Schizosaccharomyces pombe: one gene and its partners. The gene in region 1 interacts genetically with each later gene. Each region holds a gene or a part of one and is shown in the gene's direction. Other genes may lie near its edges.

What was found. Genes that interact genetically often act in the same process or in processes that back each other up.
Region 2: mutations in saf4 (region 1) and fil1 together harm fitness more than expected from each alone (negative genetic interaction), as found in Schizosaccharomyces pombe (one large-scale study listed by BioGRID).
Region 3: mutations in saf4 (region 1) and aga1 together harm fitness more than expected from each alone (negative genetic interaction), as found in Schizosaccharomyces pombe (one large-scale study listed by BioGRID).

What each region holds. Positions count from the first base shown.
Region 1 is NC_003423.3:1,784,130-1,793,008, reverse strand, and holds saf4 (splicing-associated factor Saf4), read left to right. Parts: upstream 1-3,962; coding exon 3,963-4,223; exon of another isoform or gene 4,224-4,268; coding exon 4,269-4,517; exon of another isoform or gene 4,518-4,572; coding exon 4,573-4,962; 3' UTR 4,963-5,091; coding exon of another isoform or gene 5,092-5,366; 3' UTR 5,367-5,401; downstream 5,402-8,879. Other genes in the region: rps1402 (40S ribosomal protein uS11), read right to left, coding at 206-625; RNase MRP subunit, ribosomal protein L7-like Rpl701, read left to right, coding at 794-922, 1,364-1,990; PPR repeat-containing protein Ppr2, read left to right, coding at 2,327-3,625; SPOM_SPBC18H10.09 (zf-CHY type zinc finger protein), read right to left, coding at 5,092-5,366, 5,402-6,531, 6,595-6,677; ubiquitin hydrolase Ubp4, read left to right, coding at 6,761-6,868, 6,929-7,072, 7,261-8,790.
Region 2 is NC_003421.2:810,098-815,208, forward strand, and holds fil1 (zf-GATA type transcription factor), read left to right. Parts: upstream 1-1,592; 5' UTR 1,593-2,557; coding exon 2,558-4,231; 3' UTR 4,232-4,611; downstream 4,612-5,111. UniProt on the Schizosaccharomyces pombe protein: Activates genes required for amino acid biosynthesis and acts as a master transcriptional regulator during amino acid starvation. Binds variations of the DNA sequence 5'-GAT[AC]GC-3'.
Region 3 is NC_003423.3:335,851-340,190, reverse strand, and holds aga1 (glutamate N-acetyltransferase), read left to right. Parts: upstream 1-1,910; 5' UTR 1,911-2,052; coding exon 2,053-3,390; 3' UTR 3,391-3,742; downstream 3,743-4,340. Other genes in the region: mti2 (translation initiation factor IF-2Mt), read right to left, coding at 3,743-4,340.

The sequences.
Region 1 (8,879 bases):
ACAGGATACAAGACATGAAGTTCTAAATATTCAAACAATACAAATATACACAAATATAGTACTACGGAATACTTTTAGAAGAAAATTACAAATCCATTTTTGACTGTAGATATCCTAAACGAATAACAATTCCAGTGAAATTCCTCCCATGTGACAGAAAAGTACCGAAATAAAATTCGAGACACTGGCAGATACGACAGCACACTTAAAGTCTGCGACCACGACGACCACCCTTTCTACGAGTAGAATCAGTGGGGATGGGAGTAACATCCTCAATACGGCCAATACGCATACCAGCACGGGCCAAGGCACGAAGGGCAGCTTGAGCACCAGGACCAGGGGTCTTGGTAGCAGTACCACCAGTAGCACGGATCTTGATGTGAAGAGCAGTGATACCAACTTCCTTGCACTTAGCAGCAGCGTCTTGGGCGGCTAACATAGCAGCGTAAGGAGAAGACTCATCACGATCAGTCTTGACCTTCATACCACCGGTGACACGAACAATGGTTTCCTTGCCGGTCAAATCAGTGATGTGAACGAATGTATCATTAAAGGAGGCGAAGATGTGAGCAACGCCGAAAACAAGCTCACCGGAACGGATTTGAGGGCCAACGTTAGTAGCCATTTTTCGTGGTTAGTTTTTGGTAACTGCGATATCTCTTTTGTTTTGGGCTTCTTCCTGTGTAAACTAAAGGAACAGTCACAAATTTGTGTCGAAACTTTTGTGACTGCTCATGGGAAAAGTTGACCACTAGTCTTTTCTTACCAACTTTACCACCAGACATCCACCATCATGGCTGTAGCATCGTCAACGGTCCCCTCAAAGGAGCAAATCTTTGCTCCTGAGTCTCTTTTGAAGAAGAAGAAGACCCAAGAGCAGTCTCGTGAACAGCGTGTTGCTGCCGCTGCCGAGAAGAAAGCTGTAAGTGTTTTGTCTATGGATATTTGTCTTTGGATGGATTGAATAAAGTACAGAAATCTTTTGAATGATGAAGAGTTTATCTATAAAGTACACTACAGATTGTGTTTTTTCATCTAGATAGAACCCTCCCACATTCATTTTGATCGGTTTGCAAGGGTTTTCACCTCCCAAAAATTAGTCAAACGCTTTAGCCTGTCATGGAATTTTTTATGATTGCTTTATTTTTATAAGCAATAATAAAGCAGATAATTGAGAAATATGAAAAACAAGATGATGACAACAAATTTCGGATAGCTAGCTTAGGCTGTGCGCGTTCCACAATTTACCATCTTTCGGGACTGATTACTGTTTTTCTACTTTTCTCTTTATTTATTTCTTTCCATCTAAATTACATCCATTCTAATTTCACAAAATTTCTACTGTATTAACTGTTATGTTTAGGCTCAACAAAAGAAGCGTGAGCTCATTGCAAAGCGCGCCGAATCTTACGATGCTGAGTACCGCAAGGCCGAACGTGAGCAAATCGAACTCGGTCGCAAGGCTCGTGCTGAGGGCAACTACTACGTCCCTGACGAAACCAAGTTGGTCTTTGTCATCCGTATTCGTGGTATCAACAACATTCCTCCCAAGGCCCGTAAGATCATGCAATTACTCCGTCTTATTCAAATCAACAACGGTGTCTTTGTTAAATTTAACAAGGCTACCAAAGAAATGCTTCAAGTCGTTGAACCTTATGTTACTTATGGTATTCCTAACCTCAAGACTGTTCGTGAGCTCCTTTACAAGCGTGGTTTTGGTAAGGTCAACAAACAACGCATTGCTCTTTCTGACAATGCTATCATCGAAGCTGCTTTGGGCAAGTACTCTATCTTGTCTATCGAGGATTTGATTCACGAAATTTACACCGTCGGTCCCAACTTCAAGCAAGCTGCCAACTTCATCTGGCCCTTCCAACTTTCTTCTCCCTTGGGTGGCTGGAGAGATCGCAAGTTCAAGCATTTCATCGAAGGTGGTGATGCTGGCAAGCGTGATGAGCATATTAACTCTCTCGTTAGAAAGATGCTTTAATTTGGTGTAGATGTTAAAAATAACCATATCTTTCCTAGCTTTGACAAAATAATTTACAACAAGTAGATTTAGTTGTTTTGGTCATTAGGTGTTATTAGTAAATTCATCGCTAGTAGTTACTTTCATTGTAATTAGCTTTGTTAACTCATTTTTGCAATCTTTTGTGTGCATATAGTAATTTTACCTCGTCAAACAGCACTTTTACTCAACGTTGTACATAAGACGATGGTTGAACTAATGATGTAGTGTCTTCATTCGTAACAACTCATATTTTATAACTTACTTCCTACTAACGCGGTTTTAATCCTAAACTTGAATAAACTAGTGGTTTGTTTAATGCAATTCATTAAAAGGACATTTCCGCGAAGGGCCTTTGTCGATTTGCTCCTAAACCGCTTCTGCTTGCGGGAATTTGCAACCACGTATAGTGTTTCAGTAAGTAATGCGCGGAAATTAGTACGAAAGCGCCTTTTAATCGCTGATGCTTTGAAATTCAAGGAGCAAGTCAACAATCTAAATGAGTTTCGAAATAAAAAAACTAAGTCATCCTTAATAAGAAACGATGGTTTCAAACTGGCTAAAAATGTATCTTCGTTACTTCAAAAAGAGTCTTTAGAGAAAGCATTGCATTTACTGTACGAGAGATCAAATGCCAAGAAGACGGTTGCCTATAACCTTGTACTACAATATCATTTAGCTAAAGGGCATTACAACGCTGCTTGGTCTTTGTACAATGATATGAAAAAGCGCCAACAAAAACCTAGCGATCATACATACTCCATTCTTCTAAAGGGATTTTGCGATGCTATTGAAAAGAATAAGCAAGGAAATTTTTCTAAACTACGTGAATATAGTGAAAAGGTAACAGCTAGTGCTCTCAAGGAGTCTAATAATGTCACATCCAATTTGCATCACATACGAATTATATCCAAGTGTAGTCTAAAGCTTAAAAGTATGGTATTGGTGTCAATGATTATTCCATCCATCAAACAAACATTGGATTTCTATAGTGGATCTCAAATTCTTCGACTTTTGAACGACTTTTCTATGTTCAATCCGGAACAACGTGAAGAAGTGTTAAAGATGGGGACGAATCTTTGGAATTATTTTGTCCTTGAATGCCAAAAGAAAGGAATAGCAGTTGATGAAAGTCTTATTTGTTCCTTTGTGAAACTTCTGGCTACTAGCAACTCGCCTCAAGTGAGAAACGTGGGGTTAAATATTCTTACAAAAGTGATGGGATTGGAATATCAGATTTTCGAAGATTCCAACTTGCGTTATCCTTTACCCCCATATTGCGATTGTACTTCAAGAAGTTTGGTTACAGCATTACAGGTCATTCGTCAAATACAAAACGGTGATTTGTTAGCAAGGTATTGGAAGTATTTTGAGGAAAGTCACAAATTTGATTTAAATCTTCAAGTATATCATGAGAAGCTACGTAACCTTGTTCAGCAGGGCCAAGCAGCTGAATGCTTAAATACCATTAAAAGGATGTCGCATAACGGTCCTTTCCCTACTCAGCAGACATTTTTGATTGTCTTATCATTATGCAAAAGGCCGAAATTTTATAGCTACACGAAAAGCTTCTTAGACTTGGCCAAGAAATTGAACGTCCCCGTTGAAGCAACCTAAAAATATCATCAAGTGTTTAATAATTCATCGATACCTTTTTATGTCATTTATAATTTTCTATTAATTTATAAGAAATGAATTCAAATAATCGTCATGTAATTTATTTATTTGTACATGTTTACCTTGTCCGTTTGAAACTGTAGAATGGAACCCTTATTATTTTAACGTCAATTTAGCAAACGTAATTTAAAATTGTTTGTTGAAAAGCCATGAATTAACTAAGAGTTATAATTATGTTTCTGTTGCATGCCACTGATTTAGCCTGAACTTCACCTAGACGTAGTATTAACTTAGGAACTACTGATTTTGGGCATAAAGAGCTATATACTCACTAAAAATGCAAGGATTTAATATGGGGAAATATATTCCCCCGGAAGGGCCGAATGCTAAAAGAAAATTTGATAAATTACGAAATGTAATTCGGTTTGAAATGCCATTTCCAGTGTGGTGCAACAATTGTGAAAATATCATTCAACAAGGCACTAGATTCAATGCTGTTAAAAAAGAGATTGGCTCATACTATACTACGAAAATATGGTCATTCAGCTTAAAATGTCATTTATGCTCAAACCCTATCGATGTACATACGGATCCTAAGGTACTGGTTTGATTAATTTAACAAATTTGTTACTGACATAAATAGAATACAGAATACATCGTTGCTTCTGGAGGCAGAAGGAAAATTGAACCTCAAGACATCAATGAACGTCCTGCAAAAGCTGAAAACGACGAAAAGGTGCCGTCTGATGCAATTGAAGCGCTGGAAACCCAATTAACTCAGCAAAAGTCAGAAAAGCATAATAGTTCTGTAATAAACTTTATATATGAGAAAAATGAAAGGCTTTGGTCGGATCCTTTCGTTTCTTCTCAGAGGCTGCGAAAACAGTTTCGGGTAAGAAGAATTTGTTTTGCGTTAAAATTTTCATATTAACTAACCCATAACTTAGGAAAGGAAAAAAATTGAAAAAAAGCAAGAAGCTAAAGATCTATCTCTCAAAAACCGTGCAGCGTTGGACATTGATATATTACCACCCTCTTCTTCTGACAAGGATAAGGCATTATTGTTGCTAGATAACGAATTAGGAAAGAATAAATTTATAAGGAAATTAGATTATAGAAGAACATTAATGCCCTCTTCTAGAACATTTTCGACTTTTGCAAAGTTTGCTGAGACTTCATTCGCAAAAAAAGATCCTTTTGCTCGAAAATTTGTCCCTTCCGAGAAGCTAAGGAGCGAGCAAAGGAAATTTCCTACAGAAAATTTAAAGGGAGAGAAAATCCTTGAAGATAATTCGGTTTCTCTCGTCAATTATGAAGTGAGTGATGATGAAGGATAATTATTTTGGTTAAATACGAAGACTTTAAAAGTATCTTCTATCAAAAGATTAACTACTTGTTATTCATTAAATTTTTATACAATATGGGTATCTAATGAAGCAAAAAAATATGGATGTCATGCAACCCAATTAATTACCGTGATGCTTCCTTTTGTACTTCCTTGGATCCTTCCTACTCATGCGAACGCGATCGCGCATTCCTTTTCCTCCCTCCCAGTAGGCACTGGTTTGTTTTTTCACAGTCATATTTCCACAATGGGGGCAAGTTGCATCCTTTTTGTAGAAAGATTCCATGGCACAGTACCCACATATTATTCGATTAGCATGCTCAAATGTATGATTTTGATCAGCGTCATGACATTCATCACATGGATAAACACGATCACAACATGAAAAACGAAACCCTGATTGTTAATTATGAATTTTATAAACGACTTACATCTGAATGATTTTTTGTAATGTTCGCAAGCACCATTATTGGGAAGTGGCAATCCTTTCGTAATGTTTAAGTTTTGTTTTTGCTTCTTTTTTGCGCTCACCTTCCCGCCCATTGAACTTTGTCGTTGTTTTAACAAATGAAATTCGGTATCTTGATGTTCAACCAAGATTCTGTTTTTGCATACTTTACAAAACTGTAGCATGGGCTGCATGGAAGAAATACCTTTAAAGGATGTTATCTGCTCATCAACACATTCCATACAAGAGACCTGACAGTCAATGGGCATCACGTCAACCGGTACACATCCTAAAGTATGGAGGATACCTAAACGGGCATTATTTGGGTGAATCACACCAGGCACCCAAACTAATCTTAGAGTATTACTACACTTATTGCAAACAAGAGAAAATTTTGTAGCAATAGAAATTTCACTTCCATAATGGCACCGAACACACTTTATGACCAAACGTAAAATTGGTGCTTTGAGAGTACCGACATTAGTTAAATGCGGATTCTTCCATTCTAAGCAGTATTCGTTACCCAGAAGCTCTGTGTCTTTGCTCTGAATGTCATGATCGTTACTGTAAGCATCCTGTGGTTCATTAACATTTTGTAGATCATCTTCTTTCCCATCGTTTCCTCCTTTTGAATAAATAATTTTTTTTGGCTTTTCATCATTGAATAACTGTTCAGAGCCAGAGATGGTAGTTTTTGTTTGGGTAGTATTCTGCTTTTGACAGTGATTTTGACCACGCAGTACTTCATAGTCAAGTGTAGTGTTCAAATGAACCCTCTCTGATAGAGGTCCTTCAAGCTTATTTGCCAACGGCTCTAAGTCAGTTGGGGTTTCTGGTTTCTTAGAATCGACTTGTTGAACCATCAACTCACGCTCTTTTGTATTGCATGTCTCAAATGATTTCCAATTTTGTAACAAATAATTAAATAAACTTGTCAAAGTTGTTTTCTGATTTTGAAATGCCGTTTCAACGTACTTATTCATTGCCGTTTGCATGAACTCTTGATTTTTTTCAAGTAATACCGATATTTGAAACGGTTTATCTTTATTTATAACTAAAGTAATCAATCCATGATCACTGGGCAAGGATAAGAAAATCTCATTTCTTGCCTCTCTGGTACTAGTTAATAAAGATGTTTACATTAACTAACCCACAGCTAACCTGCTTAGTACTTACATAACTTCCGGATTAAGCCTTCGCCGGAATACTTGTATCTGCAAGTCCCAATTTGAATCCTTCATAGCTTCAATTGAAACCATAATAACCAAAAAAGGCTATAGTCTTGTAGTATTTGGTTCAATTCAGGTTAAGTCGCCAACACAAATACTCGGTTCTTCCTCGGATGTCCGATGATTATTTCGACAGACTATTTGAATTAGCATTCGTTTATATTAATGAAGATGAAACGATTCAAAGCTGTTCCTTCAGAGGACAACGCTGGCTTGAAGAGGTATGTCTAATTTTTCCGTGCCGTTTATAGTAATGTGCTTCAATTACTAACAGTTTTGAGGCCCAAACTCTTGAACAAAAAAATTCATTACTCAAAGCATACTATTACTATTTAAAAGCACTAAAACTTGCTTACGAAATTCCATGCCGATTCGAGATTTCTGTTAAGTCTACTCATTATGGAGAATTCAAACAGTTCCAAAAGGTATCGACATTGTACATAGTATTTTTTTTAATGCTCAAAACACGAAAATTTTGTATTCAAAGCTCCCTAGCCTTCTCGTCAGATAAATTTGATATAGTTGACGAGACTGTACTAATTATGATCTTTGAAGCAAACTTAATTTATTTTTTGTTCAAGTTACAATCTTGAATACTAACATGTCCTTTTAGTTAGCAATTCAAGCCGTTTCCAAAGCCTTTACTATAAAAAGCAAATTAGCGGTGAAGCATTATTTGCCTGTAATTCAAATCTCTGACGCTCTTTCCCTATCAAAAAAATCATCACTTAAAGTTCTTTTTCTTAATTTCTATTCCCAAGAGTCTTCAAAGGGTTATGTTTTTTCGAAGCACACGATTGCCATCCCAATATCCTGTTTGCAATCGATGGATTCTTCAAAAATATATGACTTTTTAAAATCCGCACCTTTTCATCCAAGCATGGTTATTTGTTACAGTTTGGAAAGATACTTCGAAGACGTTTCTTTGGCTTACAAGCTTTACTCGATGTTACGTTCGTTGAAGTTGGATCCTCATTTCATGGAATTGGCGAACCCTAAGAAAGTTGATAGTTCTTTATCGTATGAAAATTATCAGCCTATAGGTTTAACGAATTTGGGTAATACTTGTTACATGAATTGTGTCCTGCAATGTCTTTTTGCGTGTAAGGACTTGACTATTCCTATGTTACAGGGGAGAGGATTGCTTCAAAATATCAATACCAAAAATCCATTGGGTACCGGTGGAAAAATCACATCTGCTTTCTTTTCCTTGCTTCAAAGTGTCTTATTAAACCATGGTCAGAGATCAATATCTCCAAGGAATTTTTTAGAAATTGTACAGTCATTGAATAGAGATTTCTCCATCGATGGCCAATGCGATGCTCAAGAATTTTTAAATTTCTTTCTTGATAAACTTCATGAAGATTTGAACTCCAATGCATCTCGGTCTCCGATAGCACCGTTGACGGAAGATCAATTAAGTGCCAGAGAAGAACTCCCATTGTCCCACTTTTCACACATTGAATGGAACTTGCATCTCCGGTCTAACAAGAGTATTGTGGTCAACAATTTTGTAGGTCAACTTTGCAGTCGTACTCAATGTATGACATGTGGCCGCACATCTACTACTTTTGCTCCCTTCACATCGCTTGCGATACCGATTGACGATGTCTCCCATGTAGTAAGCCTACAAGAATGCTTATTAAAATTTTCAGCTCCTGAACTCTTGCAAGGGCATGATGGATGGCATTGTCCCGTGTGCAAGGTTCAAAGGTCGGCAAAAAAAGTAATTATGATTTCGAAACTACCTGAATATTTGATCATACAAATTCAGAGATTTAAAATATCCGTAATGGGTCGTAAAAAAATTGATACACCACTTGGATTGAGCTTACAGATTCCAAGTAAAATGCTGGTACCACCGAGTTTCCAATCGGGAATTGGTTATATTCCTAGCAATTATAACCTGTTTGCATTTATCTGTCATTATGGCCAGCTCGAAAATGGACATTATATATCTGATGTACTTTTTAATAATGAATGGTGCCATATTGATGACTCAATTGTTCGAACAGTGGGCGGTATTACTGACTTGAGAGAAGATTTCTCCTCTTCCTACATTCTTTTTTATAAACGCTCAAGTCTGTTGGAGGAGTTTGAAGATAAGTGTCCCAAAATGACTTTGAAAAGAAATGTTAAATAAAACAAAATAAAAAAAGGAAAAATGTTTTCAATAAACCTCAAATATAGTTATTGAATAAATGTTCAACTTAGCATTCATAACCGATATGA
Region 2 (5,111 bases), on another chromosome or scaffold:
AGTAACCAACGACCAACAAAATGCCTGAACATAGAACCGGTGTGAATAAGCAAAGTTGGCGAAATGAACAAAACAACGTTGCGCAAACCAATAATTGCACTTTGCTACTGTCAAGTGATGCGCAACATTCATTTACTCATCAACATCGTTATGATAAGTGTATTGCACTTTTATCAAACAAGTTTTGCAATTTAGTATGCGCATTTCAGAGAAAATTCATGCTATAGCAAACTCATGTTGAATAACAAAAATACGCACAAAGCAAGGCCCATTACTTTCTTGTAACACTCTATTTTTGGGGCCTTTACAACCCGAGAAATAGGATCAATCGATCATCCTTCACTAGCCTTGTCACTTGCCTTCCGTGTGTAATACCAACGGAACTCATTCTCCGGTAGGAATGTACTTCTGCTGCCTTCATAGTCGCTACTGCGCAGACCGAAAAAATCCGAAAATTCTTTAAATAGCGAGAGCGAGTGTATTTGCGGAAATAAGCTTAACAATTGATGATGGAACACGGAAACTAAGCTTAAACGAATACAGTCACTATCGTTATAGCGGGTCAGAAAGGTTGCAGGCAGAGAAAGTAAATGCGTTAGACTGAGTATAGAAAAGTATAGTAGACAAGGCATTTTGGACAGGCAAGGCATGTCGGACACATGTGTAATAATAAGGCATAAACAGTTTTAATTTTTAAGAGTAGAATTTATTACAAAAGGACTTTTAAGTAATTTTCTTTTTAACCAACAATAGGACTCGACATTTACAGTTAATCGAGTTTTTGTTGTGAAAAATTCCAAATCCTACTTTTTAATTACATCTTCTTTTATATTCATATTCATATTCATATTCACATCCACATTCCACTCATACATTCACATCATAACATTCATTTTATTATTTCTATAAACAATCGGTTCAAAAAGAACCATTCCTATTGTTTAACGCTTCTTTCTTTCGCTGTGTTCCTTCTTTCCCTTCTATGATCATGTAGTTTTCTCCTCAATTGATTCTAAATTGACTGAGAAATACACAACTATTTTATTATCAAGTTCAAATTGTTAATTCGCTTTTCTCCTACCTACTTACTTAGTTACCTCGTGTCTATTTGTCTCTATAGTAACCCTTTCGCCCCCATTTTATATATACACCCCCACACTTCCTATATAGCGATATCGGCGCTACTCACTTCCACAGCCGGTTGATTTTACTGCATTCCATTCTCTTTCGCTATATACTTTAATGCACTTGAACGATGGTTCATTGCGTGCTGGCCTGGGTGTTGCTTTCAAGTCTTTGCAATCTTTGATTGGCTATCTAATGTTTTTCCCACCACTTACAAAGCGACTTAGATGCGATAAGCTTTGGGGCCGATGTCACCCCGATCGTTCGATAAGCCCTCTGATAAGGCGCTGTCCCTACTATTATGCCTCCTCTCTCTACCAATCAAAAGTTGCCGTACCTGTCCATAATAGCTGCATGAATGTTGACTACGTAGTGGCTTTCTTGTCACGTTCTTCCTATTTAAGAGCTCGTTGCGCCGCCGGTTTTTTTCTTTTCCTTTTTTATTTTACCACTACACCAAACTTACTAACAACCAACAACACCACAACTACCACACAATTTTACTAGTACAGCGTTAACATCCTGATCTCGTAAATCGTCTATTACATTTATTTTAAGCTTTTAAATCTCTATTTTTTTGTCTTCTACTCCATTTAGTGTTGACATATTTTTTTTTACATACCTCAGTTTTCTAGTTACTTTTCAGATTTAATTTTTCCCAAGATGTGTTAAATTATCTATAAAGTCCTCGTTTTTTTAAGTTGATTTTACTTCCTTGTTGAAATCGAATATACTGGTTGTTTTTGTTGTTTCGGATCTTTTGTTTCCACCCCCAATATTACGTTTACAAAGCATGCTTCGTTCGTCCTCGTGTCGTCGTTAAGTCTTTTTCTCCTAAATCATTCAAAATGTTGTCTCATTGAGAATTTATCGTAGGTTGTTTTTCACCTCATTTTTTTTATCTTCTTAATTTTGCTTTAGGTTTTCTATCCCTCTACCAAAATTTTTCTCCTATCTCTTTGTTTATCGAATATCTTTTTAGTATTTTTCGGTTAATCTTTTCTACTATTGTGGTTGATTAAATAATTTTCTCTCTTATTTTAATCGTCTTCCTTTTATCTCTTTTTTATAATTCTCCAATATGATGTAACTCGCAAGTTAATTTCGTTGGAATAATCCTTTATTATTTACTCATTTCGGTCAAATATCTTTCTTTTCCTCTGGTTGTAACATTTAGAGTCTTTAGAATCTCTACATCGTTTGGTCGGGTCTATTGTTTTTTTTAACTATCCCCAAAGTGCATTATGCTTCTTATTTTTTTACAAAGTCAACATTAAACATTTATTACTTTTTGTCTGTGTGTGACTAACATATTACTCGCGTGTGATTGAATTCGGTATTATAATTTCGTTTCTCTCCCTTGTTTTTCTATTTTTTTTTATAATTATCTTTGTGTCTGTGTGTTTATAGCAAATCCAATTATTTTGTTATCATGAATTACAACGATACTACTGAATTTTGTTTCCCCTTTGGTCAGCCCTCTTTCCCTACTTCGGCTATGACTGAAGGGTCGTTTGACGGTCAATTTTCCGAATTTGACCCTACTTTCACTTCCCCCGCTGATACAGCATTATCCGATATCGCAAATCTTCCCATTGATCTTCATAAGGATGCCCTTTTCGCCAATGCGCCAGGCAAGGGAGATGTTGATTTTGATTCGGTTTCAATGTTGCAACTGCTTTCTGATTATCCCTTGGCTTTTAACTCTACGGAGAATAATCAGAAATTGCAAACCAACCCCTCTGCTCGTTGGTCTCTTCTTGACAGCATGGATTTCGACAATCAAAGGCAATGTTCTGATTTAGAGTCTGCGCAACTCGGTGATTCCGGATTGCTAAAGTCTACCATACTGTCGAACTCTCATATTGACATTGCTGCCTTGTCTTCCAGTAAGACGTCAGAACCCACACCCCCTTTCTCTTATGTACAGACTCCCTGCATCCCAACGCCAAGCTCGGCATTAATCGATACACCATTCCCTGGTGCTCTTGATTCCGAGTTTGGTTTCGATGAAAGTCAAGCCCCTCTTTTCCCTGCCTCTGATGGTGATTGTCAGCGTGCGTTTGCTTCCATATCTTATCCCACCAACTATGGATGCAAGCTAAGCAATCTGGGCTTCATGTCACCTCAGTCGCCTGTTAAAAGGGAGCTGAACGATTCCACGTCTCCCTCGAAGCTCTCCGAATCGAGCTCATCCTTGACTGGTTCGTCTTCTGCTTTGCTATCCCAATCTGAGTTCTTGGGCTCAGTTCCTAGCTTGTCCGATTCGATCGCTACCGTTGATCCATTCTTTTCGTTTGAAAGCTTTGAAACAGATGAAAAGGCTCGTTCATTACTCATGGATGCTTCACTTAAGTTGCCCCAATTTTCCACTCCTAATCTGTCCTCTAACTCTTCTTCTCTCAGTCTGAAGTCGACGTTAGCAGAGGGAATGAAAGGCTCTACACCCCTTGCTGCCGTTAAAACTGAAAAGGCTAGTAAGGCAGCACGTGTAATGAAACAAAAGAAACATCGCGAACATGTCTGTTTTAACTGTGGAGTCACTGAAACGCCTTTATGGAGACGTACATCAGATAAGCTTAACTTCTTGTGCAATGCTTGTGGTCTTTACAACAAACAGTATGGTGTTATGAGACCATTGTCTCCTAGAAACAAAGGCTCATCTAAGGCACTTGAGAATTTGGTGTGTGCCAATTGCTCTTCTACGAAAACTTCGTTGTGGCGCAAAGATCGTCACGGACAGACTGTTTGTAACGCTTGTGGTTTGTATGCCCGTCTTCATGGCCACAATCGTCCTATTGGTTTGAAGAAGAACAAAATTACCCGACGTCGTCGTGGTAAGGGCCCTGGTGGAGAAGATGGAATGTCTGACGAGGTAAAATCAGAATTCCCCGTACTCTCAAAATCCGTCACGATGGCCGAGATACTCTCTTCAAAGGGTCTTGAATCACCTCAGCTTACCAACTCTGTTTCTGTTTCGAAAATGCCGAATACCGATGCTGATGTTTCGTTGGAGCATGCAAAAATCTCTTTTGATTCGTTGGACAACTCGGTTATTGTCAAGAAGGAGGAAGAAATAGAGAATAAATTTTCGGTCTCTTGTTGAAAGACATTACTAAGAGTCTATTGATTTTTTTTTCACCTTGGTTTTTATAAACTCTTTTATTTTCTACTCTAGCTTTTGTTTATGTTTTTATTACAGCTTGCAAGTTTCAATCGTTTTGAAGACTACGCTTCGTACTGAAAGATTACTTTTGTAGCTAAAACCTATACATTTGAATACACATTTGGGATATACTTTTGATTAGATATGGCATAAAGGGTTGATGTGTGGGTTTATTGGAATTTTTTATTTTTTCATTTTTCTTGTTCTTTTTTTTTGTATCTTGCTTTTGCAACTATAAACAAAAATTTCACTTGATATTTTATTTCTAGTCTTACTGATTGAAATTAAATTGACTGATCAATTTTTAAGTGCTCTTTACATTTTAATGTTGTTGCTGTAGCTTGTAGTTTTTTTTAGTCTTGAAGTTAAGTTGTGCAAATGTTAGTTAGCGAATACGCAGTTTGTTTTAAAAGTAGATACCCGCTAAGGAGTGTGTAACAACTCAACTGCCGAATGAACTAGCCCTGAAAATGGATGGCGCTTAAGCGTACTACCCATACCTCACCGTCTGGGTTAGCTTTGAGAAGCTCAGACGAGTAGGCAGGCGTGGAGCATTTTTTTGTATGTAAGAGGCAAAGAAACTTTGTTGAAACAAGTAACGTATTAATACTCTTTGAATTAGTTTGGCTTTATTCAAAAATAGCGGTGAATTAAATAACAATAAATTATTGATGTATTGAATTTAATTAAGCACTGATAAAATGTTATAAAAGCGTGTTTGTCAATTGTTACCGATTCAGTACAGTGTAAGGACAATATAGGCATATTTGCCATTAGCCTTGCTTTTTAGCTTTACACAACGAAAATAATATAAATATTA
Region 3 (4,340 bases), 1.5 Mb from region 1:
TAAAGTATTTAAAAAATAAAAGAATATTATTCATATAAAGGTATCTTATATTACCAAGGCTTAGGCTTTCGTTTGTTTATGCTATCAGTCGCTTGCTAATATTTGATTGGCTCTTCTTTCAGTAAACTAACAAAGCATTGGAGCTTTTATAAACTACGTCATTTAAGTAGGCGTGAACTAAATTATTGGACAGAATTGAGTTTCTTTCACTATGCATTGGAAATTCCTATAAATAGTCGATGAAGTCTGCGAAACAAGGGAGGTAAACAGACTTAGTGGGTATTAAAATGTTGGTCAATCTTCTGCCGTCTTGATTTAAAAGCACTTCTCTTTTACTATTGTAAGACGGAATATGCATGCAAGATCGCTTTAGTTGGTTGAATGTCTCTTTCTTTGTGTTGTGGTTTGTTCGTTTTTTTCTAATTTGGAATATTATAAGAAACGTTGTTTTCTTGCAACATTTTGAAATGGTCATTCAAAAAGCTGGATTCGGTACCACTTTTCTTTTTACCTTGTCTTCTAAGCTCTGTTAAATTTCTTGATGGGGTCCAGTTAAACCAACCCCCAAGTTGGTTTATGTGAGCCTTGTCTCTTTTTTGGATGAATAGTAGCTTAGATAGTGATAGTTATTATTATGACTGATGGAATCTACTTAAAAATGGATTCCATTTTTTGTCTACTGTAATTGAATTCTTTTTGGTACACTTTTTGGCTGCATTGTTATCCTTGAAAGCACTTACAATGTTTAAACTTTGCGAATGACTGAAACAGAAAAGAAATAAAACGACTGTACCTGAACTATTGTTGAAACAATATTAAAACGTATTCCTGAAACAGATTAAACTACATTAAATTTTGTTAATGAATTAAACGTGAAACTTGAAAGTTTGATGCGAAACAAAACCCGCAGTTTGTTTAAACGCTTATTTGTGATTAAAATTGATGAACCAGTTTAAACTATGAAAGTGTTTGAAAACGTGCTGAAACCATTCGTTAAACCCTGCAAACCAACATAAAAAAAATTGAAAATAAACAATAACCACAGCAAGCTAATTCAATTCCAACAATGGTATGTTGCATTGGTCTTCGGTTGTGCTGTGCTCCCTCTTTTTTTGAGCATAGTTAAAACCATTAATACTATTTAAACATTTCTCTTTAAAAAAGAGAAGAGAATAGCAACACATAGAATTTCCAAATTCAACATGCCTTCAAATTTGAAATCGCAAGGAACAGCTATTAATGAATGAAACGAGTTAAATTGAAATAAATCAAACACTATAAAGATTATTATTCTATTTCTTGCTTAAAACACACTTTAAGGAATTGAAATTTTTCACGTAAAATGTTGATGAACTGGCTTTAAATTTACATGCAAGTCTTGATTGTGAAATGATGCGTTGGAAGCATGAATTGGTATTTTCTTTTTTAAAAAAAGCAATGAAAAGTTTGAAAAAGGCAATAAAACTTGGAGGTGGTTGGACTTTGCCGATTTCACGAAGTTTTTCTTTGCTGTTTGAAACTCAACCAAATAAATTAAACAGTGGTAGCAGCCCCAATTAAACTGAAAATCTATCAGTTATATGTTCATGAATGTGTAAAAGCAGCAGAACAGACAGATCCCAGCATTTTTCCCTTCTCTTTGCACTACATTATGAGAGGGATAACTGATATTCTGTAATGTAGATCTGAGAAAACGAAGGCAAAGCTAATCCCGAATGTAAGGTTTAGGGAGCTACTTGTTTTCATCCTTTCGAACGTAAGGCTCATAAAGTATCATTAATTAAACGTAAGAATAATAAATTTCAAACAAATTAGTTGTTCGCTATACCTACTTTTGTTGTGCAGCATTCCCATCTTCTTATCAAGTTTCACTTGATAACCGCTTCGAAGATTCAGACTTCATCCTTCTTAAACCACTACCGCCATCGCATATATATATTTATATACAAAGCAAGTTTACATTATTGTAGCTTTTATTAAACTGCTCGTTCAATTCTACTAAAAAAGGGATCCACTGATTTTGTTACAAGACTGACCATTAAATTCATTGCTATGCAAACCAAAATTTTTGCACGTCTTGCTGGCATTGGTCGGGCTCGGTTTGTTGGTACGATGCCCGACAAGACCAAATTCATCAGTAAATCTGGAACGTATCCACAAGGTTTCAGCTTAAATGGTATTGCTTCCGGCGTAAAAGCCAATGGAAAAAAGGATTTAGCCATTTTATTTTCCTCTCGACCATGCAACGCCGCAGCCGTCTTTACTAAGAATGCATTTCAAGCTGCTCCAGTTCAAGTTTCACGCCAAACTCTGAACGGCTGTGGCGGTAAAGATATTCACTGTGTCGTGTTCAATAGCGGTTGCGCTAACGCTGTTACTGGTGAGGGCGGTTTGATGGATGCCCAACTCATTACCGCCGAAGCTGATAATTTGACTCGTCCACATTGGACTTCGTGGACTGAGAATTCAGAGGAATTTCCCTCGTCGTTGGTGATGTCGACTGGTGTTATTGGACAACGTTTGAAGTTAGACAAGATTCAAAGCGGTTTGGAACACGCGGTTGAAGACCTCGGGTCCACTCATGAATACTGGATGAGAGCAGCTGAGGCCATTTGCACTACGGATACTTTCCCTAAACTCGTTTCCCGTGAACTTAGTATTGCAGGCAAAGTCTACAGGATTGCAGGTTTTGCCAAGGGCGCAGGTATGATCAATCCCAACTTGGCCACTCTTTTAGGTTTGTTTGTTACAGATGCCCCAATCTCAGTTGATGCAGTCCGATCTATACTTCGTCATGCAATTAACAACAGTTTCAATTCTATCAGTATTGATGGTGATACGAGTACAAATGATACAATTGCCTTCCTTGCAAATGGAGCTGCTGGTGGATCCGAGATTACCAAGTCTTCCCCTGCATACAAGGAGATTCGTGATGCTGTAACGGATATTGCTCAACAACTTGCAAAGCTGGTTGTCCGTGACGGTGAGGGTGCTACGAAATTCGTTACTGTGCAAGTCAGAGGCGCTAGATCAGAGAAAGACGCTGCGTTGGTGGCATCAACCATTAGTAACTCTGCATTGGTGAAAACGGCATTCTTTGGTGAGGACGCTAACTGGGGTCGTATTTTGTGTGCCGTCGGTTATTCAGGTGCTGCTGTCAATCCTCCTGCTACGACCGTTAGTTTTATTCCTGCAGACGGAACTGAACCATTGAAGCTTTTAGTAAATGGTGAACCACAAAATGTCGATGAGACCCGTGCTAGCGAAATATTATCGCAAGACGAACTCACTGTAGACGTTGATCTTGGATGTGGTCCTTATGCCAAAACAAATTGGACTTGCGATTTTTCGTATGACTATGTTCGTATTAATGCTGATTATCGCAGTTAAAAAAGAACAGTGGTCAGTTACCAAATTAACCAAGAGTGAGCTCTACGCTTTGATACCAAGAAAGCTTCATGTTTTTACAGCTTTAAACTCTTCAATTCAATTTGATGAACATACACGACGTTCGTTTACAATACGTGTCTAACAGAAAAAAAGGATTGCTGAGATGCATTCATTAACAAAAAAGTATGTATAAAAAGCTTTGCTTGCTTATGGTAGAAGTTTGCAATTTTAAGCGAAAGTTCATTATGCATGTAACATCAATCATAGTATATCATAATAACATGAATCTTTTCATTCGATTGCCTGCCTTAATTGAAAGGAGTTCAAGCCAGGATTAAATAAGAAGTGCATGCTAAAAATCAGGAGGTTTGTATTCCTCAACAAATGTTTGTAGCTTATCCCCTGTAACTATTTCGTCAAAATTTTTTAATAATATACCGCATTCCCTGCCTTTTTTAATACTGGTGACTTCTTCTTTTAAGTGTTTTAGACTGTCAATTTCACCAGACCAAATAATTTTGTCATTACGTACTAAACGTATTTTATGGGATTTTTCAATAGTTCCATTAGTAACTCGACAACCAGCGACATGAACAACTGCTCTTTTAGCTTTGATGTCGAAGATTGCACTAATAATAGCTTCTCCGGTAACACGCTGAACCAATATGGGCGGTAATCGCAAAGCAAAAAGTTTCCGTACATCATCCATTAAATGATAAATAACGTTGTGAAACAACAGCTTTACATTGTGTTTTTCTGCTAAACGAAAAGTAGCTTTCGGAACGGAAACACCGAACGATATAATGATGGCATCGGATGTTTCAGCTCTCTCAATATCAGTTTCGGTTACTGGACCCACCCCAGTATACAAGACTCGAGATTTTACCTTTCCAAATTGTAATGGTTTGAGATAATCTGACAGGGCCTCCATGGACCCAGTGTCTTCACAT